7 linked regions of the Cricetulus griseus genome follow. The protein of the gene in region 3 interacts with the protein of the main gene of each other region in a pairwise test. Links are inferred from orthologs where the notes say so. Each region holds a gene or a part of one and is shown on either strand. Other genes may lie near its edges.

Region 1 (3,500 bases), on a different chromosome or scaffold from region 3:
TTTCAATAAACAAAACTAAATAACAGTTTAATTATTTATCTCATGTAAGTATAAATACAACATCAACAAACTTTATTTATTTTACAGTATCTCTAGGTCCTAATGTTGTGGATCTTAGAATTTTCAAAAAACCAAATGGTATTTGCATAAATTAATAGATTTGCTTCTGGAACTCACATCTGTTTGTTTGCTGTTTGTTTGTTGTTTTTTTTTTTTTCCTGTCTTCTCTCTGTGCAGGATTTTATCGTCACTGTCGTCTTTTCATTCTTGTGGTTGGTTGGTTCCTCTGCTTGGGCAAAAGGACTGTCTGATGTCAAAGTGGCAACTGATCCAAATGAAGTCTTGTTACTGATGTCAGCTTGCAAGCAGTCCTACAACAAATGCTTGGCTGTCCACAGCCCTGTCATGTCCAGCTTAAACACATCCGTGGTGAGTATTTGTTCATCCAGGCTTGACTTCCCAAATCTTAATTGATGGTCAGTGATTAAGAAAAACACCCCAAAGCTACTGTATACATTTCTGCCTTTAAAACTAGGCCAATCAAAAGAGGGAAGTCTCACTGACTGGTAAGATGATATTTCAGCCTCCAAGATTTTCAATGTCAAAACCAACACACTGTAATGTTTCTGATTACAGTTTTTAATAAAAACCCAGCAGGTATTAGCAGCTGTGGCTAAGATGACAGTCAAGTGAAAATTCTAAGCTAAAGCTGATATAAAGCCTAAATGTTAAGGCTGAAGCCTGCCAGAAGTTAAAAAGAATATTTGTTAACTCATGTTTCCTGGAAGAGAACATTTTATTAAAGCCACACATGGAATATACCAAATTGGTTGGAGAAAAATATGCAGACTTAGTAGGGAGCAAGAGGAAATGCATGGCTTGAAAAAGGACTTAGAATAATCCTGTATCTTCTCCCTTCTTCAGTATAGCTCTTCGATAGCCTTAGAAAATATGTGCTAAATTGGCTGAACAAAATCAAATATTGTCATCAAGAATATAGGCCTTACAGGAAAGTATGAATGCCAACAGTTGGAGAGAGGCTAAATTGTATTTCTAATTTATACATGTAAGCAATTGTGCTACTCCACAGGAGGAAGCTGCATCTGATAAAGAGCTAGGATGTTGACAAAAAGAAACATTTACTGAGGAGTGGGAGTCTCAGCTGTGTTCATTAAAAGTACACCATCCAGCAAAAGTGAAGTATAGTTATCTTGGCTGCAACATTAACCTGTGTCCCTGAGGCTTTCTGACATTCAGTCAGGGAAAGGGGCTACAAAGAGGGCAAAGGTTGTTCCACTCCTCCTGATTTCTCTATAAATCTTGTCTTGGTGAAATAGCAACCATGGAAATCCACTATGCCCTGGATCTCACAAACATTCTTACATATTGCTGGCCACACTTGTGAGTGGCAACTTGTGAGTATGCATTAACATATATAGTGATTTCTGTAGCTTATTTGTAGGCAGTGCCAAAGACATAATTATGACTCTCATCTCAAAATCTAAGAAAATAAAAATTGCTTGACATGTTTAACAAATCAAGTAAATGATATTTGTCAACTGCTAGCTTGGTAATGCATGTCCCAAGTAACTTATGACATCCCACCTGGCCTTGTCATTCCACTAATGTTCTAATAAAGTTTAGACTAGAAGGTAGGACTTAGAGATGAGGAATAATGTGTTCTCCTAACCCTAACAATAATGTGAACATATGGAAGGAAAGGCCTGCAGGGTTGTCATTGTGTCCCTGACAGCCAAGGCTTTGGTGGTTCTAATAGAACAGCTTGTTCAGATAGATTAAAGCAAAGTTTACAGTATTCTTTAGACCCTTGTCTGGAACTAGTGTCTGTACTCATTCAGATGTCTACATTGTAAATAGAAGCTGATCCCAATTTTTTCATTAAAATGATAGTTTCTGGAAAGATACCATGAACCTGCTGAGATCTGAAGACATGAGAGTGGAAGAAGCTAGAGCAGGTCCTCAACTCCTGATGTCAGAAAACTAAAATACTGTCTCTCTGAGTTGCTGAGTAGTGGAAATTTTACCTACCCTCCCATTTTTCTCCTTCAGTAGAAAAGTTCCAGGGCAGACCTCAAGCTATTGGACTAAAACTTCACACTGCAAGGAAATGAATTGTGTATTACTATCACAGGAGGAAGGATATTAATCAGTCAACTCAGGTTTTTGATTTAAAATTGTGTTTCAGGCAGCGAAACCCAAAAATAATGAGAAAAACTAGAAGTGTTCCCCTAGAGTAGAGTCTATGGCTGTAAGCTGGAAGATAGTCCAGAGACTGTATCTTTCCCATTCTCTACCACTTACCCTTGGGTGTGCACCTGTTGAAAGACACTGTTATATTAAATTCCTTTTCTAAATAGAATTTTAATTTTTTCTTGAACATATGGGAGAAGGTAGGTACCTTCAGTTTCTAATTGTGTCTTTCCTTTCAAAGAAACAGCTTTGGCCAACCCAAAGGCTCAGTGGGTACAGGTGCTCACTGACCAAGTTTGGTAACCTTATCCCCAGAATTCGAAAAAAGGATGAAGAGAACAGACTCCACAAAGTTGTCATCTGACTTCCACATGCATGCATGCACACACACACACACACACACACACACACACACTCAGAGAAATAATAAATAAGTGTTGTTAAGGGAGGGGCACTTAGACTGAACTGATATCACTCAGATCCCGTTACAAATGTCTGAATGTCTGGTTGAGAGCATCCCATTGGCCCTTTCAGGGACAGGTATCCTTCTCAGTCTCATCAACTATAACTATAGGCTTTAGGAATTGTATATTCAAAACATGGCTCACAGAACTCACCCTGCTGGTCAAGTGCAAGTTCTGAAGAAGGAACCATGCCCTACACATACTATGCTCTGTGATCTCTGCAAAGAAATTGGTCAAGAAACAATAAATATTTTCTACTGTGGTAATAAAATTATTTTCTTTGCCATTGTAACTTCACAGTAGCCCTAAAATAAGGTGAGGTATCAGGACATTACAGATGCTGGAAGATGATTTTAAAGATCCTGGAAAAGGTTTCTGGATTTAACTACACTAATGGTAGAACTGAAGCCAAACTCTCCTAATACTGTTAGTACTCAAAAGAGCTGAAGGCACACTGCTGGAATAGTCTCCAAGGAGGGGTCTGGTTCCACTAGGTGACAGTGTAGTAAATCCTTTACGAACAACAAACCAGCTCATGCCACCATCAAATCTCCATGCCACCATCAGAAAACTGTAGACAATTATGCAAGAGGCAGCAGACTCTGAGACTGCTGAGAGAAGATAATGCATGGAAAAAACACTTAGCATGCTGCCCAATCTGTGGAAAATGCTGATTAAGGACCACATTACCCAGAGTTATATCTCATTGGTCAAAAGCACATTCCTTTGGGTGAATGATAAGGGCAGAGCCCTTTACCATGGCAAAGTTTCAAGGATACAGAAGAAATGCTCTGATCAGAGCCTGGTGGCACAGTGCCCAGTGAC
Region 2 (4,038 bases), about 150 Mb from region 3:
TCCTGAGCTGAGCAGGATGTGCCTCAACATATCACAAGTCAAACAGAAGCTTGGAGGTGGAGTCACAGGTATTAATCAGTGGGTGACTTTTTCTATCATTCCCTTCCCCCGGGGCATAAAAAGTTTCTACAGTTCACACGGAGAGCTACACCTCTGCATACGGTAATAAAGTAGGACACAGTGTCCGCCATCCCTTCTCTCTGTGTCAGGATTGGAGCCGTCTAAGTGACCAAACGCCGCTCCCTATCCGGAAGGAAATGCAGCCTTCCTTTGCCTGCAACTGCCGGCTTTAGAAACAAACTTCCCATGGAAGGTCATGGAGGGATAAAAAGCCCGACTGCCAAGGATGAGACGGTGGGGCAGTGATGTTGAAGAGCCTCAGAGAGTCATTATAAAAACGTGGTATGCGTTAAGACAGCGGGAGATCAAAGCACTACCATCGGGAGCAGCAGGCAAAGGACGGTGGTTTTTACACACTGGGGAGACAGTCCAGTAATTCAGAATTCAGCACCTCACCAGGACAGAATGTACAGTCTGGAATTGTGCTCATTTTCACTCAACTTGGCCTACTAAGCAGAATCAACTCATTTGCCCCAAAGGTATTCTAGGTCCTCATTAGCATATTTTATTCCACAGGCTTTTATTTTCAGCTATTCTCAAAAAAAAAAAAAAAAATCACCATTAGGCTTCCTCATGGGACACTGCTGGCTGTTCAAGGTTGCCCAGTGGTCTTTTGGACTGGCACGATTCACCACTTTCAATCACTAATATTTTGCTTGGGGAACAAAGGAAATTAAACCCACCTCCAAACACAGCCGGGTAGGTTTTTAAGATCTCGATCTCTCTGCCCACCCGAAACCCAGCACCGGGAGGGAAGGGAAGCTCGCCTCCGGGCGCGGGCCGGGGAGTGCCGTCCAAGACTCTGCCAGACGTGCCCGGCGAGCGTTGGGTGGACCCGAGGGCGCGAACAGGAGATCTCTGCTCGGAACTCAAGGTTTGAATTTCCCAATCCTGAGCGGATTTGCCTCAGCACACGTCAGTAGCTGTGGCTCGGTTTCTCGAGGGGTCTTCTTTGCCCCTCCTTCTTCCGCCCCGCCTCGTTCTTAGGGAATTTCAAGAGTTTCCCCGAGTGTTACAAGTGCATTTACCAGCACTGGGACTCCCTAGGTATTCAGGGGCCCTTCCCAGGGGCTGCACCCAGCTACCCGACGAGTTTAGGGAGAATGGGGTGAGAAAGGGCAGCGTGGATGGGGAGGTATTAGACTGACAACTTAGTGATGAATTTGATCTCTTGCTCTTGGACCGGCGGGAAGCGGGCCCGTCTCCCCTCCCCCTTCGGGGGCAGAGGTCTGGACCGCGAAGCCCGGAGGCTGCGGAGAGCTGAGCTCAAGATGCTAAGATGGCAGGAGGGCGCGCAACCGGCCTCCCCAAAGCTTTCACTTCTGCTCCACTCTCGGCCTCAGCTGGTACAAAAAACAAACAACAAAAACCACTTCAATACAGACTCAGCTTGAATTATTTCGGGCTGGATTTAGGCGGGACAGAATGAACTCGGGGGCAAAGTGCTTTACAGAACGTGTTACCAATAATAATTTTTTAAATGCTTTAAGATGGAACCCTTTTAAACTGCACTTTAACATCATCTTTGCCTAGTGCTTAGCACCCTGACAGCGCCAACTCAAAATTGTCCCAACAGCTCCTAAGTGGCTACATGTCTGCGCAAGCAGGCTGGAGCGCGGGCGCGCGCGGCGCGGGGAGGTGGGGGGGGGAGGTAGCTCGCTCTAAAGTGCGGCTTCAAAAACGCCTTTCCCCCCATTCCTTCTAGGAGCTCGTGTTTTAGCAGTTGATTTTGAAAAAGCATCCTGGCACACACAGTCTCTAAAACGCCCGTTTCTCCTCTTAACGCTTCGTAAGTCACCACCACCCATTCAAGATTTCTCCTGCCCGGAGTTGCCAGCGTGGTGGAGTGAAAAGCTGGCTGTGCGTGCTACAGGGTTCGTCCCGAAGCACTGCGCTGGCTTGGACAAAGTAACTAGTGTTGCTCTAAAAGCCCCAACGGCAGCACCCTGATCTTCAGATCTTCTGGCTTAATCCTGAAAAGTCTAAGAAGAAACCACGTGGAAGTCAAGTAGCCGCAGCGTCTCAACAAAGCACCCCGTCACAAAAGGGGTACGCTTTTTCAAGGCTAAGGAACGGCGGCCAGTATTTCCATATGAAAAAGAAGCACGCAGTCTACAACACTATAGGAAGCACGTTAAGCAAACTCGACTGAAAAGTCCAACTCAAGAGCCCCCTCCAACTGCCCCCCCCCCGCCCGCCCGCAAGACCTACGCCATTCGTAACTACAGAAAAGTAAAATAGGGCTGCACAACAAAGAGCCAAATTCAGTAACTTGGCTCTTCACTCTACTTGGAAAAGTTTGAGGCTTTTACCTGTTGCATTGTCGGGAAAACTTTTGACCAAAATATAAATCAGCACGTGGAAACTAAAGGCACTTTGAAGTCCGTCATTCTACTTGCAGTACCCTAAGTCAAAAGGTGACAAGGCATTTATAAACCACAATAGAAGAGTTTTCCTTAACGAAAAAGACGCTAGAAGGTAAAGTGAGTTTTTCAAAACTTACTCTTTCGCTTAATGAAAGCGAAGCCGGCGCGCCAAAGCGGTGAGGCTCCTTGGAGGCTGAAGTCAAAGAAAAGGAGGGCTCAGGCTCCCAGACCTGTCTATTTAAAGTTTAAAAGTCTGCTGCTGTTTGGTACTTTCCTCACGCCTTCCCCCAATGAAAGAAAAGTGCTGATACCTCGTAAAAGCGCTTTTCTAACTTGGAGCACAGCGCTTTTAAAAGTTTCAAGCCACTGACTCAACTGGAAGGAGGGGCTAGGAGAAAGGGGAGGGAGGAAGAAAAGGCGGGGAGGAGGTGGGGAGAAGGCTGGTGAGCGTGGGGCTGAGCAGGCACTAGAAGCAGCCAGGGTCAAGATAAAGTTGTAGTTTGAACACGCTAAAGAAAAAAAAAAAAAAGAAAGAGAACAGCCCTAGATAGATTTACGTCCACCACCACTTGGCTGTGACTTCTCACAGATTAAATACTGTTGAGTCTAGTGCTTGCTTCACCAGATGACCAGGGACAGTGAGGATATGTACTTTTATGTTACATTTTCTAACCTAAAAAAACAAAAACAAAAAGTACAACAAATAAAAATGGGGGAGACAACGCTAACCAGTGCGGACTTGTTCTGGGTTGCCCAAGCTGTGTGAAGCTTGAGGTGGGTGTGAGTGATCTTTCTTATGACCTAATTCTCTTGCTCTTAAACATGGACAATTAACAAAGGAAAGAAACGGTGGGCATGGGAAAGACATTTCACAACCAGATGTGTGTAGGGGTATGTCTACCCTTTCAGCCTCTGGACTGTGTTAGGTATTTCTACGTATTCTTTCAACTAAGCACAAGAAGAAACGTGTTATGATATATCATGTATATAATTTTTGACTGAAGTGTTGATAGTGACCTCTACCAGATCTCCAAGGAAGTGAAAATTTATATCTCAGGCCTATTCAGGCCAACAATTTAACATTTAAATTTGCAGTGAGATGTCAGAGTTCTTTTTTTTTTTTTTTTACAACTGCAGACTAGAGTTGTCAGATACATTATCTTGCCTAAAGTGGCTCTGAAACCTTCATCCGCTCTTTCAATCATGTCCCTGGGAAGCCCAACCTGGTGACTGTTTGCCTCTCCACAAACTCTCTCCTCAGACCTGATGGGGTTTCTGAAGGCTTAAGTCATGTGGCCTCATTCCTAAGATCAGTAGCTTCTTTGAGGGCTCCCAGACATCCTCCAAGAGGGCTTGTGGTAGGACGAGTGCCATAAACAGGCTTCATTGGTATTGGACAGGGAAACCTCTTGGCCTTTGTACAGACATCCATTTGATCATGCTAAACTTTTCACACAAATACAGATACAGACCAAAGAAGGATGGCAAAGATTTCCTGGGAAATACTTCCCCAAGTATCTTCTCACTGCAATGACTAAGGACTGTTTGAAAT
Region 3 (4,171 bases):
TGCCTGGTGCCCACATAGGTCAGAAGAGGGAGTCAGATCTCCTGGAAGTGGAGTCACAAACAGTTGTGAGCTGTCATATGGGTGCTGAGACTTGAACTTGGGCCTTGTGAAAGAGTACAAAGTGCTCTAAACCACTGAGGTCATCTTTCCAGCCTCTAATTTAGTTAATTAAAAAACAAATTCCTCCTAATCTAGGTGTGGTAGCACATGCCTGTAATCTCCACACTTGGCGGGGAGAGGGAGGAGATCAGGACTTCAAGACCATCCTTGGCTAGAGTTTGAGGCCAGCCTGAGCTACATAAGACTATGTCTTATGTAACAATAACAAAAATCCATCCTTATCCTAAAATCAACATCAATTTTCTTATAATTTCTATCGGTAGGATTTACTTAGAATTTTTGAGGCTATATAGAACATATCTTTACTTTAAAGCACTTCAACTTTTTTTCAGAAATTGAAACTAAATAAAGTGTTAATTCTCATATTCTCTGATACAGCCTAGGCACTAGCCAAGAATGATGTCATTCACTTGTAATCTAGTCCTCAGGAGTTAAAAGCAGGAGGATCAATTCAAAGGCATTCCTTACCCACTACATAGTCTGAGGCCAGCCCAGCCTGGGCTCACAAGACCCTTTCTCAACAAACAGGGCTGCAGGCTGTAGCTCAGTGTTAGAGCACTTTATTCAAATCTCAATGGGTGGGGGACTAAGGAGGAAAAGACAGTTACTGTACTAGGGACAGCACCACTGATGATAATTTCCAAATTCTATTTTCCTTCCTACTAAAACTACTGTATCGCTCACTCATCTTGTAATGGTGGCAGAGGGATAGGAGACAGTGTCTCACGTAGCCTCTGCTTGCCTAAACTTGGCATGACGCTAAGTCTGGCCTTTTAACTCCTGATTCTCCTGCCCTAAATAAACATCTACATAACAAAAGATACCATGAAAACATTAAAAAGGCAAATGACATAAAAATGTTTACCATAAAAGCTAGATGTAGTAGTATATGCCTGTAAGCCCAGCACTCAGGAAGTAGCTTTGAACTCGTGAGGACCTTTCTGCCTCTGCATCCAGAGTGCTAGGACTGTGGAGGTGTGAGCCACCATGCCCAGCTTTGACAACTGTTATTGTTAGACTGGTTCAGCCTCCCAAACTCTACCGTGAGCAAGATATGGAGTACCACGACCACAATGAAATCTGTAAGAGCCCTCCATTTGTCGTCCTTCTCAAGGCTCTATTCTCATGTTAGTTGATATTCAAAAATTATATTTTTGTATGTGGGTGTGGGCTTGTTTGGAGATCAGAAAGCTCGTAGGAGTCAGTTCTCTCTTTCCATCATGTGAGTCCTGGGGATAGACCTGGCAGCAGGGCCTTTCCCAACTAAGCCACACACTGGTAATTTTGAAAGGAACACCACAATTTAGGTAAGCCCTACAGGGTCAAGAACTGCCCTAGAATCTAGCCTATTTATCTACCTGCCCCAGCTTCCCAATAGCAGCAAGTGTGCTTAGATTAGATTCTGACCTCAGTCCTTTTTCAAGTTATTGAGATGAAATAAACTGAATTTGCCTACTTGGGTCATGTAATCCCCCTCTAGTTTTGTTGTTGTTGTTGTCATTGTTGTTTGCTTGCTTGTTTTTGTTTGTTTGTTTTGTTTGTTTTTTGAGACAGGGTTTCTCTGTGCAGCCTTGGCTGTCCTGGAACTCAGAGATCCACCTGCCTCTGCCTCCCAAGTGCTGGAAGGGGCCAGGCTGCCCCTCCAGCTTTTACTCCACCAATAGGAACCTTACCTTTGTGAGAGGAAGTGCTGAGGGCAGACTAAGCCCCTCCTTCTCCAAGAGCTTCTTCTCTTCCTCAGTCAGCATCAGCCTAGAAATCTCCTAAGGTTGTAGGAAATAGTGGAGAGCAAAAGTTGCATGGGGATGTGGGAGCAGAATGGGAGGAACCTTGGCCTCAGTCGAGAAAGGTGGGATAATCCTGAAAACTCAAGTCCAGTACCTGCTCTGTAACTGTATCCCCCACAGGCATTGGAGTCACGCGGAACCCCTCCTTTTCAAAGCTCCCAATATCTGCAAAGTAGGGAGAAAAAAGTAGGGCTAGCTAGGCCAGTGAGCTCTTTCCTCCCCCATAACTTAACATTCCACACTCACCTAGATCTATGGACACATGTTCCTGTGGGAGGGAGTAGTTGTGGTCATGTCGAATAGAAGAGATGGAGGAGCTGAGAACATCCAGCGATGCCGAGGGACTGAGCAGAGAGCTCAGTAAATCCTCTACCTCCCAGTCGCTCAGTGCTTGCACAGAGTTCTAACAAATTCACAGGCCTTGATTTATCTTTGTACCCTTGGGTCTCACGGACGTCGCTTAGCTTCCCCACTCAGAACGCCCACCCACCTCGGAAGGCGGCAGCTCCAAGTCCAGCGGAGCCTCCACATCCTGCTCGGTCGCAGCCCACAAATCTCCGTTTTCCTCTAGCAGGAAGCCCAGCAGGTCCTGATCACCAGGATCCAAAGCTAGAAGGTCCTGACCACCAGGATCCATTTGGGATATCTATAGATAGAAATCCCTGTACACAGATGCAATCTCCGAACCTTAGACACGACCCCTCGGTCTGACTGTCAAATCGGCTCGACTTACCTTAGTCACTCTACTCCGGGCTACAAGGCTGAAGGCCTGCGGTCACACTAAAACCACAGCCACCTCCCAGCTTCTGTTCTACTCAGCTTCCAACACAACGGAAGTGATGCACATAGCCCCAAGGCATCCTGGGACTTGGAGTTCCTTCCAACTCGGAAGTGGCTCGTGTGCTGCGCCACGTCCCGGGGGCTATGCAAATTATAGGGACGTCCCTACAGCTTCCCACACCCCAGGGCGGGGATTCTAGGGACCCGGCTCCGCCTTCGCCGCGAGCTAGAAAAAGGAAGAGTCTAAAAGGGAACACCAGCTTGGTTCGGGCGATCTCTCCAGCGCGCCGCACCCTCGCTTCCTGCCGGGGAGGGGCGGCCAGGCTTTGCGGGCGCCCGAGCATCGAGACCTGCGGCTAGAGCAGCTTCCTGAAGTCTTTGCGACCATAGAGCGCGGGCCCAGGGCGCCGCCGGCGGGTGGGAGACATTTCCAGGACGGAAGTGGACCAGAGTGTCGAAGGGAGGGCGAGGCCGGAGCCCCAGAGCCACCCGGAGAACGAGCGGGTAGCGGGCCGGCGGGCGGGGCGCAGAGCCGGGCAGCGCAGGTAGGCCAGGCGGGCCGGGCCGGAGCTTCTAGGTGGGGCTGCGGGGCCAGGCCAGCCCGGGAAGCGGCGGGCGGGGCCCCCGATCCTCCTGCATATCCTGTGTCCGGTCCTGTTGGGGAGGTCAGCGTCCAATGCGTTTCGTTTTGGGTTTGGAATTAAGCTAGCCGTGTGTCGCGAGGCAGGCCCCTTTCGTGGGAGCAGGCTGTTCTCTCCCTCGACTAGGTTTGGGGGGGAGGGTGAGGAATGGGGTGGCATTGAGGCACTGGGCGGGGATGGCCTTTGGTGTTAGCAGATAGTGAGTATGTGGTTAGGAAAGCTTTGGGTGAGTTTGGGATTAGGTGCGGTCGGGTTTAGGAAGTGAGGATCCCTTCAGAGGTTACGAAGCTCGAGTAAATTTTAAACATTAGCTGCTTTAGTCAAGTCTGTTTCGTGTAGGTGACATTTAGTTTGAGGTCATTATTTTGTTTTCTGGAGGGATCAGCATGATCAGGATACCGAATCAGGTTAAGGATCAACCACAGGAATTGGCTTAGAAGCCCGTTTAGGTACTAAAGGCCATTGTCAGGGTTAGTATTAAGAATAAACAGTGAAAAGGTGAATTAAAAGCAAGTAAAAAATGAGCTTTAGGATTAGGAGTCAGTATTTAGGGTAAAAGTTGAGGGATTTAGGCCTAAAATTAAAAGCTGGATTAGTATGGGTGTCTGCTATGAAAGAGATGAAATGTCAGAATGGGGAATTAGGAAAGAAATTAAAGTCAGGATTAATGTTAGGAATTGGTGGCAGCATTAGGGGTTGAGGGTTGCAGCTACAGTTGAACAGGTAAAAAACATGAGAAGTTGGCAGCAAGTAGCTGCCTTTGTTTTGGGGTGAGGTCCCTTATTGCTGTGTAATCAGAGAGGCTTCTTTTACCCAGAGACGACAGACTAACTTCAGGCCACA
Region 4 (3,500 bases), on a different chromosome or scaffold from region 3:
GCCCACTTACCCTGCAGACTGGTCCTGGGGACTAGTACATGCTGCTGCATTTTTACATCAGCCAATCACAGAACGCACTGAGATCATTAAGGGGTAGTCACTTTATGCTGGGCCCAGTAAATTATGTAAATAGTTTAGGGACTTACAAGATATGGTCAAATTTTTGCCAAATTGATAACTACTTCATTAGATGCTTATTTCACATAGCAAGCTAGCTTCCCTGCCCCCAAGGCAGTATTTCACAAAGGTTATACTCCCATGCACAAAGGGACGCTCTATGAGCTTGTGAGCCTTGCTTCCCAGCGCATTCAGATCACTGGCAACAGCAGATCTGCAAAGCATAAGACAGAACATCTGCCCTCTCTCCCAGCCTCTGCACAATTTTTCATTTCCTCCACACGATTATGGAAAATATTTTTACTTAGTAGATGACTGAGAAAAATGAAATTAAGTGGCTTCATTAGAATAGAATCAGAGGCAAAGGTCCTGTGACTAACTGGGAAAAGCCCACCAAAAGTGATTAACAAACTCCCAGCATCTGGGGATGAACCAGCCCCACGCACTCCAATTATCGATGTCTCATCTGAGGTCTTGGTGGTTGGTAAAGTCACCAAGCTCACACTGCTAACTAGGAAGTGCTGGTCCTCTAGAGTTCTGGCCTTGCTTCCCCTCTAGACTCTTCTAAAACAATCCCTGTGTGAGCCCTGTAGGAAAACAAGCAGGCTCTAAGGACCCTGATACTCTTGTTTAGTTACACTACACTGATCACCTGTCAAGTTATCATCTCAAAGCTACAGATTAAAGGAATGGTGGTGTGCATCAATGTCCTTTCTATTAGAGCTGAGTGCCCCAAACACTAGGAACTCAGAGTCTGCCAACACATTACTAGTTGAACAATGACATCAGGAGAACCATGGCCCTTATCATAGTAACCTATAAAGCAGATGTCCAACCTGTGTCTAACTAGATCAAAGAATTTTAAAGACAAATAAAATAACATGTACTTTCTGCAACTAAACTAACATCTCCAAACTAAAGTCCACATGCAGGAGCTGGAGAGATGGCTCAGCAATTAGAGAGCACTAGTTGCTCTTCCAGAGGTCCCGGGTTCAATTCCCAACACCCACATGGCAGCTCACGACCATCCATTAATTCCAGTTCCAGGGGATTCAACACCCTCTTCTAACCTGCACAAGAAAATGCACCTACATAGCAAATAAATATGCATATAGGCAAAATACACATTAAAATGAAAATAAATTCATTTTCTTAAAAATTAAAAGTCCTATGTAAACATATCATGGTTCACAAATGGAAGAATCCCTATTTCCAAATACATAGTTACAGTCTTACCTTGCAAATGGTATGAAGGAAAGGCTATACCTACAAAGAAAAACAAAGCAAAGATCAAATTGAATGGAGGGAGTGGAAAACTCCCTGAAGCAAGCCCTTAGGCTCTACCCATATGCACTCACACATCACCTAAACACATCCCGTAAATAGTGTAACATTAAGCCCTCTGGCCCCAGCCTTGCTTGTGGTGCTGCTTAACCTCACAAGCCAGCAGTAACCAACTAAAATGGGCAGATTCCAGATGCCCGTATGGCGCCAGAGTCCTATTTACAGAAACTGCAAATAAAATCCTCAACAGGTGTGATCTAATGCTTTGTAAATTCTCAAGAGAATTCAACATCAACCCATGTGAGATCAATGCTCTATCTGTTCCGCTAATTAAAAAAAAAAAAAAGCCACTGCCTACCAATCTATAGATGAGAATGCACCCTGGTACAATGCTTCAAGAACCCAAGCCACACTGCCTATAAGAAAGTCACGCAGGACAGAGACACAGTCCCTGTGTGTCTGTCAGTCAGGGTGTAAGTTGGTCAGACTTAAGAATCAGTTCAAAGGGAATCCCCATTTTCCTGGGCCCAGAAGAGTGCTGACTCCTTGGAACTGGCTTGCAAAAGAACTATGTATATGTAGGTACTATACAGCCAGAAGAAAGCCAGAGTACAAACACAAGTTATCAAGCCAGGCCCTTGTAGGACCTAATAGCAAAATGTATCCCATATTAAAATCAGGTCACCATCCTTCTCCATACCTCCCACTTTTCACACGCATTCGCTAACTTGTGAACATGGTAACATCTGAAAGGCAGTTAGACAAGAGTATTTCTTCAGAAGGTCCAAGTTCCAAAAGGAAGATGGGATCAAGCTTGCATTCCCAAGATCCATTTCTACCAACTAGGTGTTCACCGACCAGAAGTTTATTTAAAATGCCCACAGCCTCCCTTTTCTCTGTATCCTAGCAGACAGTTTTATCCCAAACAGAACAGTCACACTGTACTGAAACTATTCTACTGAACATCATTACTCATGGATTAAACTTGTAAAGTAACACACGGATTAGATATGTGCCACCACTCCTCTCCCTTGGATGTTTTACACAGGTTTAAATAGCCAAGAACTTACAGTTCCATTCATGATTTTAAAAAGCCATGTCTCTGGTCACCTTTTTACTATACCTGGCTTCTTAGTTATAATCTCCTAACCTTCACCTGTAATTCCCCAAGGCCACGCCACCTCCAGTGAGGATGCTGACCCCACATCCACATGGGTTTCCATTTCCCCGGCTACTGCCCTCTCATCCTGGCTGGCCATGCCCTCGATGTCGTTCTCCCAAATGGTCACTCTGTGGCAATCGCTGACTTTCTGGGTAGCACCCTTCTCTGGAAGTGTCCATTTGACGCCTAGCCTCTTGTTACCAGGCTTTCATTGAGCTTGCACTTCCCGGACATGAGTAGCTGAGTAATATTTGTACATCTCACAACTGACCATGAGTTCAGCAAAAATGCTGTGGCTGGAGGCCTCTGGTAACCACTCAAGACCGCTAATGCCATTTATTGGGGGTGGCCTGAGTCACCTGGCTGGCTTCAGAAGCTTGACTTCTGTTGCATCACCGACAACTCTTCAACTCAAGAGCTTCTGTTTTCCTAACCTTCCCACCCACAACACGCTGGTTTTCTCTCCTTTCCCACCACAAGTCAAAGGCAGGGCTGGTTATGAGGAAGGACCCTGATATTACTTACCATGTCAAGGCCAAAGACTGCAAAATGCAGAAGATGAGCGCTAGTGCCTTTTTATGCCACTTGAAGAAAGAAAAAAAAAACATAGTTACTGTGTGTGTGACAAGGGACAAGGGATATAAACCACAAACATCACAGAAGACTAAAGTTCACACTTACCCAAAAGGCAGAACACAGGGTAAGTGCAAAACACAACTGGAAGAAGAAACGCTGATTAGTACAGTGTGATTCACAGCACTTGACCCATCTGAACAGCCGTGCTGGAAAAAGAAACCCAGCTCAACAATAAAAATGCATGCAGACTGGACAGGGAAAGACGTGCTTTCACTTTCAAGTCCCCCCTAAATGTCGGCAAATGAAAGCACCTTTCTGGACCAATCTTTTCATCCAAGACACAAAAGTAAGCTGGCCACAG
Region 5 (2,951 bases), about 81 Mb from region 3:
ACACAACTCCATTGACGACCCTAACTCAAAGGTGTGGCCTTCTTTCTCCCTCCTCTTCCCTGCAGCTGCTGAGAGTTACAGCTTACCTGGCCTGTGTGTGTGTGTGTGTGTGTGTGTGTGTGTGTGTGTGTTTTTCTCCCAAATTGTAATAACATGGTCTTTGAAGGATCCCTCTGAGTCCAGTTCAAAATTCTTTTATCAAAGAAACTGACTATGCAAAAGGGAGCCAACTTCCCAGTAATGTGTAACAAAGACCCTGGATTAGTACAGGCGACCCCAGGTCCTCCTTCTATGCCTTAGTGCCATCCCAGCTGTGATGTGAGGATGACAGTTGAAGATCCAGCCCAAACATCCCTGGAAAAGTATGGCCTCATGGGCTTCATCCTGGTCCTGTGGGCTCACAGGAGGCCACAGAGTCCCACTGGCATGGACCAGGCTGTGCCTGGAACCTAGAGTCCTGGCTAAACCGTTGATGTTTCCGATGGTGTCTGGCCAGATGGTCAGTCTGAGGGGCCCTGGCACTCCTGGCAGTCCTTCATCTCCTCAGTGTAGTTCTCAATTTGGATGGTCATGATGTGGAAATTGAACTTCCCCTGGAGGCGGTCCCTAGCCACCTTCAGCACAGCCTGGGGGTCAGCATGCGGAGCTGGGAAGAGAAACAAGGGATGATTGGCTCCATGTCTACCCCTGGGGAATTGACTAGGAGACAAGAAGTGCCAGGGTCTATCCTGTACCAGGCGAGCCCAGAGCAAGAAAAGCACTGGCCTTACAGCTTGAATCTGTCTCCCTCATCCACTCACCCCCTTGCTCCTGTACAAGTGATCTGACCACCCCAAACAAGGCCTCAGTTATCTTCCTCCATAAACGCAGTTGGAAGGATCAAAGGGCATTTCAGTGCTCAGCACTTGGCCGGAGCTTGGCAAACCCTCAGGAATGGCCCCAGGCCCCTGGCTGCTTCTCTCTTCACCTTAACTCACCGATAGCTATGTGGACAGACAGCACCGGCTGGGCCACTGTCAGTGCCCAGATATGCAGGCTGTGCAAGGCTTCCACCCCATCCACGGACAGCAGGAGATTCTTCACGGCTGTGAAGTCCACACCTTTGGGAGTCCCTGGGGACAGAAAGCACAATGGTAAAGGACACTACCCTCCCATCCCACTCTATCCTCCAGGGCCATCTACTCAGAAGGCCTCCTTGGCCAGCAGGTTCCATATGGTGCTCCCATCCCTCACTCTGTCCTGTTACAACAAGTGGAATGATCTCACGAATTTATCTATTGAGTCTAGAATGGAAACAGAGCATGAGTCTCTTTTGTTCACAGCTATATGGTCAATGTTTTTGTTTTTTAGACAAAGTCTTGCTATGTACCCTGAGCTGGTTTCCGACCCAAAATTCTGCTTCTTCAACTTCCTGGGTGCTGGGATTACAGGTATGGCCCCTCCAGACCCTCCAAGGCCAGTCATCTTGTTGAAGATAGCTTTGAAATTAAATATTCCTGCCAAGCCCAGGCTAGTACCCCACTCTCTTCCAACTGTCCCTGACCCTTTAGAAAGCCATGGCTTGGGCCTAAGCCAAGGCCTAAAGTGTGAGCTAGGCCTGTGGATTAGAGTGGTAGTTCCAGGCATCATTCACCAGCTGAGGCAGGAACAGGGAGGGTATGGGCCCTGAGACCTGTGGGAAAGAACTGAGCTGGTGTGGGTTCACTCAGCAACTACGATGGTGCACACCTGCACTTCCAACACTGAGGAGGCCAAGGCCATCTCAAACAACAAGGGATTAGAGAGATGGCTCAGAGGTTAAGAGCACTGGCTGCTCTTCCAGAGGTCCTGAGCTCAATTCCCAGAAACCACATGGTGACTCTCAACCATCTATAATGAGATCAGGTGCCCTCTTATGGCCTGCAGGCAATACATGCAGGCAGAACACTGTATACCTAATAAATAAATTTTAAAAAAGCAACAACAAAAAGCAACAGGGGATTAGAGAGACGGCTCCGAGTTTGGGAGCACTTGCTGCTCTTCCAAAGGATCAAGGTTCAGTTCCCAGCACCCTTTGATCCTAGCACTAGGAAGGTAGAGGCAGGCAGTTCTCTGTGAATTTGGTGTCAGTCTGGTCTTCATAGTGAGACCCTGTCTCAAAAATAAATTTAAAAAAAGTTCCTAGTTCTTAGATGTGGTGGTCCATGCTTTTAACCCACCACTTGGGAGGCAAGACTTTGAGGCCAACCTGGTCTTGAGTTCCAGGCTAGCTAGGGCTACATAAAGAGACCTATTTCAAACCTGGTCCCTCCCCCAAACAAAAAACAAAAACAACCCAACACTAGAACCAAATCCTTATCTTCCTGAGAAAAGTCACCTGATGATGAGGGCAGGGGTGGGGCTCCAGGTGTTACCAAGGCCATGTGACCAGCCAGGGACAACACACACTCCAAGGGAGGAGGCAGCCCTGGGCCTAGGGGGAGGGCAAGCGCTGGCTGGAACCTGTCTAGGAATTGGCACACCTTTATCTGATCAGCTCAGAGCTCTGAGGACCTATGTCCGTTAAAGGTCCCAGACACGGGCTCGCACCCTAATGCAGTGGTTCTCCAAACATCTGCACCAAGGTAGATTAGACTTGGTGAGCCTCAGGCTGAGAGAGAACCCCAAAGTCAGGCTGGGGAGATACTTCAGCTGCTAACGGTGCTAGAGGCCTGTTAGATACCCCAGAACTAAACACGCATGTACCCATGCACACACGTTAGTGCACACTTGTAATCCCAGACAGGAAAGGCAGAGATGGGCAGATGCCTTGGGACTGGTTGGCCAGCCAGCTTAGTCTAATTAGAGAGTCCCAGATCTGGGGAGAGGGCTCAGTGGGTTAAATGAGTTCAGGTTTCCAGCAACCATGAGAAAAACAAAAACAAAAAAAAAGGCCACTTGTCCTCGCCAGTAACCCTAGAGTTGGGTGGGAG
Region 6 (4,253 bases), on a different chromosome or scaffold from region 3:
GGTCGAACATGTAGCTGAAAGGAGAGCTGAGCCCCTGGCACAGGGGTCCACAGGGACCAGGAACAGCTGGGGAGGGTGTCTCACCGCACAGTGATGGGAGCATCCCCACTGCGATTGGAATAATTCACAATAGCGTTGAAGGACTGGTTCACCCACTGCCAGAACACCACAGTTGGCGTCTTCCTGGGGGGTGAGAAGATAGACTACTCATTTCTGTCCATCCACACTATTCCCCCATTCTTGAATCCCCACAATTGAATTATGTGTGTGGGAGGGAGTCAGACTCGCTGGAACTTGAGTTACAGAAAGTTGTGAGCTGCCATGTGGGTGCTGGGACTTGAACCCAGGTTCTCTGCAAAAGCAGCCAGTGTTCTTAACCACTGAGCCATCTCTCCAGCCCCCCGAACTCCCAATATTGAAACCCTAAGAGTTCTTCGAGAGTGACTTAACTGATGGTCCCAGAACTTGCCCTTGTCGCCCTCACTGGTTCAGCTTACACAAGTGAAGGCTGGGTTGTGAAAAATGGAAAGAATTCTTACACACACACACACACACACACACACACACACACACACACACTGTTCTTTGCCCAAAAGGCAGCGGAAGAGAGACTGCTGGTTACCCAACCGTGTTCTGGAGCACAGCACTCGGAAGGGGACGAGGGCGAGACTTGCCTGTAGAAGGTGAGCATGCATCCGGTAATGGTCATGTTCATGGGCACCTGGGCTGACATGCGGCCAATCAAGACCACCTTTTCCCCTGTGTCCGGGTGGAATGCAGAGTCATACACATACTTGGCTCTCCAGAGCTGGTCCTCAGTGAGCCCTGGGGTTGCCACACCAGCCCTGGAGGAATTGGCAAGGAACCAACAGGCTGTTGTAGGGGTCAGACCTGCCCTTCCTGTCTCTGCCGCTTGCCTCAGGGAACTCTGGGCAAAGGACTAGGAACTTTGCTACTCAAGCCTAGAGTAAAGGAGCTCCTTGTCCGTGGGGGAGGCCAAAGCCTCTCAGGCATGAACTTTGCTCTTTCTACAAACTTTTTGGTCTCACATTTTCTCCAGGATCACAGTGAGGGTGGTTTTCAAAGGGTCTGAAATGACTAGGGGCATCCAAGATTTAACTCCTGAAGAGAAGAGTTTTGCCTGTCTATGGTCATTAAAGGGGATCTGTGAACTGCAGAGCTGCTGCCTACCCATAAATCCAATGCTGACTCCTCAGCGCAATGTCCTAAACTCCTTTGAACTGAAGTGCTGTGTCACTGTCATCTGGTTAGAGGCTGCTCACCTGTAATTCTGCACAATGTTTCGGGAAGCTTCCAGCTGGTCGTCAGACAGCAGCAGATTGCGAGGGTCAGTTACTGTGAAGAAATGCCGGGCTCTGCCTAGGAATGTGCTTTGGTCCCATCGAGGTCTCTGGATGTTGATATCCAAGGGCAAGTCACCCATCTTCTGCAAGGCAGCAAGAACAAAGATTAGGTCCAAGGACTGCACTTGGGGAAACTTTGGTGGCTCTGCCCTGGTCCCAGAAACTATGGCCAGTCCTTGAAAGAGCTCAAGGTGACTCTAGATAGGTGAGCAAGGGTGGGGGAGGAGTTGTGTCCCAGGTAGTGTTTTAGCCAGGGACCTATAGCCACTGAGGAGAGGAGGGAAGTTCAGAACTAAGAGTCTATATAGCTTTCCTCAGGCTGGCCTGGTGCAGATTTTACACGGTGAGGATTTGCATTTGTGTGGTTGATTCAACAGCAGCAACTAATCCGGGCAGCTATCTTGAGCTCCTGCTGTAGGAACCTGGATAACACACCCAAGCCCACTTCAGTTTCAGGTCCCAGCTGCTCTAAAACCTAGATTAAAAAACAAAAAACTTCCAAGACTGTTTGGGAAGACGACAAAAGCCATCAAACTCTCAGGGCCCTGACTGGAGGAGACCGGGATCATTAGCCACTTGAGGGCTGATCAGTACTAGATCTCAGAGAGAACGCTCCAGGGGTCTCAGAGAGAACGCTCAAGGGGCAGCCATTAGCGAATGGGACAGCACGCACAATCCCCTTCAAACCCATTTGCTTCAACTCCTGCACAAAAACCCAGGACTCTCCCCGTCCTTAGTTGAACAGGGCTGACACAGACATCCACGCAACTCTCTCTGAGCCATCCGCCTCAGGAAAAGGCAAGATTAAGCGGATGCCCCTCCACCCAGCACAAAAAGGAATGCCAGGAGCAGCCATCTGGCTGCGTTAGGCAAAAATCCTGCAGAATGACTAATCCCCTCCAAGTCCACTTCCTCCCTCACAGTAGACAACGCCCCTACCCGACTCAACATACCCGCACACAAAGACATGCGCACCCTCCCCGGCACACAAACAGGTTAGACCCACACTGTATACACTAGCCAACCAGCCAACGGTAAGAATACCGTTACACACACACACACACACACACACACACACACACACACACACACACACACACACACAGGTGCAGACATCTGAAATATGCCTACACACAGCCTCACCCAACCACCCCCTCCTTGTGACCTACAGATCCTAACAGACCCTGCAATACGAAATCCACACAAGACAGAGAGCTCCTTTCAAGGCAAGCCTCCTCCTCAGATCCCAGGCCCTCACCCCTACTCTCTGATGATTTCCAAGGCAGCAAGCACTCACGCTTTCCGGGGTTTTCAGTCTCTAGCAGCTCTCAGACCCGCCTTCCTCACAGCTCTCTGCTTTCCTCCCATCCATCACCGGGACGTCACGCGTGACGCTGAGCAGCAGGGAAGGGCGGAGGCTCCCTAGGCTCGTTCTCCCAACCCGCCCCCGGCTTGGCAGAATTCCGGGGCAGTGGATGTCGTATAGAGAGACTCCCCCAGACCAGGCCGTTGAGACCAGACCCGACCCAGTCGTGGGAACAGTTCTGGCCGCCTTCCCAGCCAGAGAGAGGAGGGGTGGAGCCGCCCCACTTGTCTCCTTCGCTTGCAGTCCCTTGGCTTGCCTAGGGAGGCACCCGACCCGGCAGCACCCGGTCTAGGTGCACTGGGCACGGGTGAGCGGCGTGGAGGGCGGGCCTCTGATGGTGCGCCGCCTGGAGGGACTCGGGTTACTGCTTGTTTACTTGATGGCTGCCTTGGCAATGGGCCTCTGTGTGCTTGGCCCCCTGGGCTGGTACTCCAGGATCTATGCAGTTCCTCACCATTCGCATCCCTTTCCAGCCACATTCCTGTGGTGCCTGTGCTCCTTCTGAGTCCCCAGTCCTCTTTGTCACCCAACCCCCAGCTCCATTGTGCCAGCAGTGTCGTTACGCCCCCAACACTTATCCGTGCACAGACTGCAGCTACAACCCCTGGGATATGCACGGCCAGAGTCTCCCGTCATCTCTGCTTCTTGCATCCAAGCTGGTGCATCAGAAAGATTCCTCTCCTCCTTGTGTGCTGGCATCAGCTGCTCTGTCTTGAGGACTTTGCAGAAAAGGGCGCCCAGAGAAACAATTTTTCAACTCAGAATGTGAAGAAGACATTACACACACACACACACACACACACACACACACACACACACTTCACCCATTAGCACCCAGAGCACGGCCGCTGCACACCGAGGCTCCCACTCGTTCCTGATCATCTCGGGTTCACGTTCGGCTCTTTTGCTTGTGACATTCTCCCACAGAGACCTCAGGAGTGACCACGAAAGAGGTGGCAACTTCACGAGCCCAGGAAGCTAGGGGGGCCTGGAGAAGATGTGATTCTAGTCGCCAATGCGAGGCTCCAGGGCAACCCTAAATTCCAAAGACCTGTGGGGTTCAGAATTAGGGGGGCAGAGCCCAGAGGTACCAGGCAGGTGACGAGCGGCTACCAAAGATGCCAGAAAAGAATGACTGGCGGCGTCGGCAGCCAATGGAATCCCAGGACCGTGCAGGCCAGCCTCATTCCCGCAGCCGCACCGAGCTGGTTCAGTGTCCCGCGCGGGCGTCTGCACAAGCGACCAGGTGAGTGGGCCGAGTCCTAGAGGTAGAGGGGCAGGAGGGCCTACAGTGAGGACTCTGTTTTGGGGGGGTCACAGAGATGCCCTGGAGGGCGCGGGCCCTGGTTTTGCACTAGCAGATCACCAATCATGGGACAGAGTCTCGCAGCTTTATCTCCACAGCTGCAGCCTGGAGCCTAGCGGTCACTTGGGGGTGGCGGTGGGGGCAAGCTCGGCTGCAGCTGTCCCAGGTCCTGAAGTCTAGCTCTGGAGGCTAGCCCCTACCCATATATACACACACA
Region 7 (3,265 bases), about 280 Mb from region 3:
CCAGTTATCCTACCCTGTTTGAGTTCCTTCCCTAACTTCCTTCAGTAATAAACAGCAATATGGAAGTGTAAGCCTAATAAACCCTTTCCTCCCTAACTTGCTCTTTGGTCATGGTGTTTTGTCGTATCAATAGAAACCCTAACTAAGACATACACACACTGAAACCAGCCTGATTAAGCCCTTTCTGGGGTTGGCCTGAACATTCCACACCAGTGACTCAATAGCTCACTGGAAAGTCCCTACAGAGGGGATCTCAGGGGCTGTCTGTCCTGCCCAGCTCAGCCCTGGCCACCTGCACCACTGATCCAGTGTCCCAGGTCTACTCCTGATTCTAACAGTGGTGACAACAGTGCCAGGAGCCCGGAAGGTCATCTGGCTTGGGTTGGGAAGTTTTGGTCCTACCTGGGAGACCCCAGGAAAATACTGCCCCAGGCTTCACCTCACTCAGGAATGGACCAGGAAGGGAGGAAACAGGCATCCAAACAGCCCCATCTTACCTCCACAATCAGAGTAACAGAGAACCCTGAAGCTGAGAGTACACATGGAGAGACTGTGTTGACCTGCCTGTGTGCAGGACTCACCATGACCGGTGTAGCTACTCTTTTTCTGCTGGAAGTGAGCAGTGGGTCTCATGGCCTTAGAAGGAAGGGACCTTGCCTTCTCTATCTGGACATAGTGGCAACAACAAACATGCCTCTTGCTAGTGAAGTTAGATGGTCCAGATTGCAGTGTGATGGTCCTGAGACCCCAGAATCACTGTCAGGAACCCTGTGGGGTGTGGAGCCTCCTCAACCCCCACCCCACTCTAGCTCTATACAGAAGGTGTTTCAAGCCATGTCCAGAGGAGGGCACTGGTCAGTGGGTCCTACCTGTTCTCCAGGCACTCCACGAGGTCCAAGTCTCTCATAGAACTGTTTTCTTCCTCCACAGGCTCCTTCATGCTGGGAGCCCCAGGAGCCACTGGAGGTCGGGGCACCTGGTCATGCAGGACAGTCTTGATGATGAGGTCTCTGGCCATGAGTCTTGCCTCTGACATGTCCTCTGTGGGATAAAATAGGCTCAGTATGACTAAATTGCTCAGAACTATGCAATGGGAGCTACTAGGGCTTAGAACACCAGACCAAAATAGGCACTTGGCATGCAGGGTACAATGGAGCTCATGGGGACTGTGAGGTCTTGGAATTTCAATGTTCCTGACCCTCCTCTGCCCCCAACAGGTATCACTGATCCTTGCTCTGCATCTCAAATTGTCTTGTGATTACTTCTGAATACACAATTTGCAGCAACTTTTGCTGCCCAACTAAAATGAACAAGTTATTAACTTAAAAGTAGTTAATACCATCTTGCAATAAAGTTACAATTCAAATAGAAGAAAAAAGGGAACAGTCAAGGACAGGGCAGCTCCCCTTCTGACTGTCATGAATGTAGGGGTGAGGGCCCAAACTGCAGCAGCCAGTCAGAGACAGTAGACAGAGCAGTAGAGAAAGCCTGGCCCAAGCAACTGCAGGACTGGGAGCCATGCCCTGCCTAGGGTTCAAATTCCCAGTTTCCAATTCCTGTGGACAGAGACTTCTGGAACCCCCCACAGTGGTGACTCACATTTCAGTAATGGTTCCATCTCCACTGAGGCAGGCTGGGTGGGACTCTGTGACTGACTCACCATAGTGAAACCCACATGGAACCAGGTGACCTTAGGTCCATGACATCAAGGCAATGATAGTATGGATCTGGATTAATAGCCCTACTCAAATGCTGGTGCACAAGCAGGAATTCAAGGGGACACAGAAAGTTCCAATGCAGCCAAACCTTAGTGTGACACAAGAGACCTTGGTTTTTTGTTTTTGTTTTTAAATTCGAGTTGGTGGTAGCACACACCTTTAATTCCAGCGCTCGGGAGGCAGAGGCAGGAGGATATCTGTGAGTTTGGGGCCAGCCTGATCTACAGAGTGAGTTCCAAGACAGTGAGGGCTACACAGAGAAACCCTGTCTTGAAAATCCACAAAAAAGTGGGTGGCATTGAGCAGCTCTACATAAGAATCCAAAATTCAAAACTTTGGGCCCCAACATCACACATGTGTGATGGTTCAGAGTATAGGAACTCTGTCCCATGTACAGAATCACTTAATGTTCCACATAAATTACCTTCACTTCATATGTGAAAGTGTATAGGAGAGGTACCTGAATTTCACGGGGAGAGTCTGACCTCAACTCCAAGACAGCTCGTGTGTGTGTGTGTGTGTGTGTGTGTGTGTGTGTGTGTGTGTGTGTGTGTACAAGTGTGCATGAAAAGGACAGAGGTTAATGTTGGTGACTTCCTTGATTGTCCTCCACCTTGTGTTTTGAAACAGGGTCCTTCACTTAGACCTGGAGTCATTTCTGCTAGCCTGATTGACAGTAAGCCCCAGAGATTCTCCTGTCTCGGCTGCCCCTGAACTATGATTGCAGGTAAGCACAGCCAGGGTTGGCTTTCTGTGTCTGTGTTGAGGATACCAACAGCCATCGTCTGCACTCCAGCCCTCAATATATTTCATTATATATAAGCAGATGATATCTCAAATCCAAAACTCTCTGGCACCCATCCCGAGACTACACAGGCCATGCTGGCTTGAGCCTGCTTCCCTACCTTGCACTAGGCTGTGTTCAGAGTGTGTGTGGATGCCTTTATTTCACCTCCCAACAACCAGGTTATGGGCAGAGCACTTGTCTGGCATGCTCACGACCTTGGTTTCATCCCTAGCAACACAAACTGACACACAAGAATCAACCTAGACATGATTTTCTGTTCAAAAAGAACACCAGGTCTTGGAAAAGTTCATGCCTGAGCTAAGATGGACAGTGACCCAAGTCTTCCCATCCCTAGGCCAAGACAGACCAGTGACCATTTGTAAAATGGACTGACTGCAGGCACATTGCACAAAGCCATCCTCCTGAGGACACCCAAGGCTAAACACTGAAGTGTCCCACTGATCATTCCCTGTGTTAAAGAAAGAGATGGCTGGAAGCCTAGGCTCTCAGGGAGTTAGAACATAAGCTGGGACCCTCCAGGTGTCTCAGGGCTGACCTTAGGCAGATGACTGTCAGCAATGCACCCCAAATGGTTGTGATCAAGGAGCCAAGTGCACACGAGGTGACATCATCAGCTACCACAGCAGGTATGGGGGTGTGGTGAGTGCCAGGTTTTGAGAAGCCATATAAGGACAGCATTGTTCTTCCTTCTAGAAGTGGAAAAAGAATACCCGTCCAGAGTTTCTGTCTCAACAAAGAG

What was found.
Region 1: the proteins of Creb3 (region 3) and Synpr interact in a two-hybrid assay, tested with the Homo sapiens proteins (2 studies listed by BioGRID and IntAct). The link is inferred for Cricetulus griseus from reciprocal best matches to the Homo sapiens genes CREB3 and SYNPR.
Region 2: the proteins of Creb3 (region 3) and Gja1 interact in binary tests that used the Homo sapiens proteins (3 or more experiments, as listed by UniProt). The two-hybrid records come from large-scale screens. The link is inferred for Cricetulus griseus from reciprocal best matches to the Homo sapiens genes CREB3 and GJA1.
Region 4: the proteins of Creb3 (region 3) and Sft2d2 interact in a two-hybrid assay, tested with the Homo sapiens proteins (2 studies listed by BioGRID and IntAct). The two-hybrid records come from large-scale screens. The link is inferred for Cricetulus griseus from reciprocal best matches to the Homo sapiens genes CREB3 and SFT2D2.
Region 5: the proteins of Creb3 (region 3) and Slc30a2 interact in binary tests that used the Homo sapiens proteins (3 or more experiments, as listed by UniProt). The two-hybrid records come from large-scale screens. The link is inferred for Cricetulus griseus from reciprocal best matches to the Homo sapiens genes CREB3 and SLC30A2.
Region 6: the proteins of Creb3 (region 3) and Sfxn3 interact in a two-hybrid assay, tested with the Homo sapiens proteins (2 studies listed by BioGRID and IntAct). The two-hybrid records come from large-scale screens. The link is inferred for Cricetulus griseus from reciprocal best matches to the Homo sapiens genes CREB3 and SFXN3.
Region 7: the proteins of Creb3 (region 3) and Bik interact in a two-hybrid assay, tested with the Homo sapiens proteins (2 studies listed by BioGRID and IntAct). The two-hybrid records come from large-scale screens. The link is inferred for Cricetulus griseus from reciprocal best matches to the Homo sapiens genes CREB3 and BIK.

Annotation. Positions count from the first base shown.
Region 1 is NW_023276807.1:171,601,859-171,605,358, forward strand, and holds part of Synpr (synaptoporin), read left to right. Parts: intron 1-237; coding exon 238-429; intron 430-3,500. UniProt on the Homo sapiens protein: Intrinsic membrane protein of small synaptic vesicles. Probable vesicular channel protein.
Region 2 is NC_048595.1:253,063,391-253,067,428, forward strand, and holds the start of Gja1 (gap junction alpha-1 protein), read right to left. Parts: upstream 2,801-4,038; 5' UTR 2,624-2,800; intron 1-2,623. UniProt on the Homo sapiens protein: Gap junction protein that acts as a regulator of bladder capacity. A gap junction consists of a cluster of closely packed pairs of transmembrane channels, the connexons, through which materials of low MW diffuse from one cell to a neighboring cell.
Region 3 is NC_048595.1:99,953,772-99,957,942, forward strand, and holds the start of Creb3 (cyclic AMP-responsive element-binding protein 3), read right to left. Parts: upstream 2,801-4,171; 5' UTR 2,641-2,800; intron 2,554-2,640; 5' UTR 2,545-2,553; coding exon 2,398-2,544; intron 2,311-2,397; coding exon 2,154-2,310; intron 2,073-2,153; coding exon 2,002-2,072; intron 1,884-2,001; coding exon 1,794-1,883; intron 1-1,793. UniProt on the Homo sapiens protein: Endoplasmic reticulum (ER)-bound sequence-specific transcription factor that directly binds DNA and activates transcription. Plays a role in the unfolded protein response (UPR), promoting cell survival versus ER stress-induced apoptotic cell death.
Region 4 is NC_048598.1:27,202,258-27,205,757, reverse strand, and holds part of Sft2d2 (vesicle transport protein SFT2B), read right to left. Parts: intron 3,346-3,500; coding exon of another isoform or gene 3,281-3,345; coding exon 3,245-3,280; intron 3,148-3,244; coding exon 3,089-3,147; intron 1,384-3,088; coding exon 1,354-1,383; intron 1-1,353. UniProt on the Homo sapiens protein: May be involved in fusion of retrograde transport vesicles derived from an endocytic compartment with the Golgi complex.
Region 5 is NC_048595.1:18,946,983-18,949,933, forward strand, and holds the end of Slc30a2 (zinc transporter 2), read right to left. Parts: intron 1,113-2,951; coding exon 978-1,112; intron 647-977; coding exon 501-646; downstream 1-500.
Region 6 is NC_048596.1:16,519,535-16,523,787, forward strand, and holds the start of Sfxn3 (sideroflexin-3), read right to left. Parts: upstream 2,801-4,253; 5' UTR 2,662-2,800; exon of another isoform or gene 2,623-2,661; intron 1,448-2,622; 5' UTR 1,445-1,447; coding exon 1,284-1,444; intron 846-1,283; coding exon 675-845; intron 184-674; coding exon 85-183; intron 1-84. UniProt on the Homo sapiens protein: Mitochondrial serine transporter that mediates transport of serine into mitochondria, an important step of the one-carbon metabolism pathway.
Region 7 is NC_048595.1:380,436,301-380,439,565, reverse strand, and holds part of Bik (bcl-2-interacting killer), read right to left. Parts: intron 1,713-3,265; exon of another isoform or gene 1,340-1,712; intron 1,042-1,339; 5' UTR 1,037-1,041; coding exon 870-1,036; intron 1-869.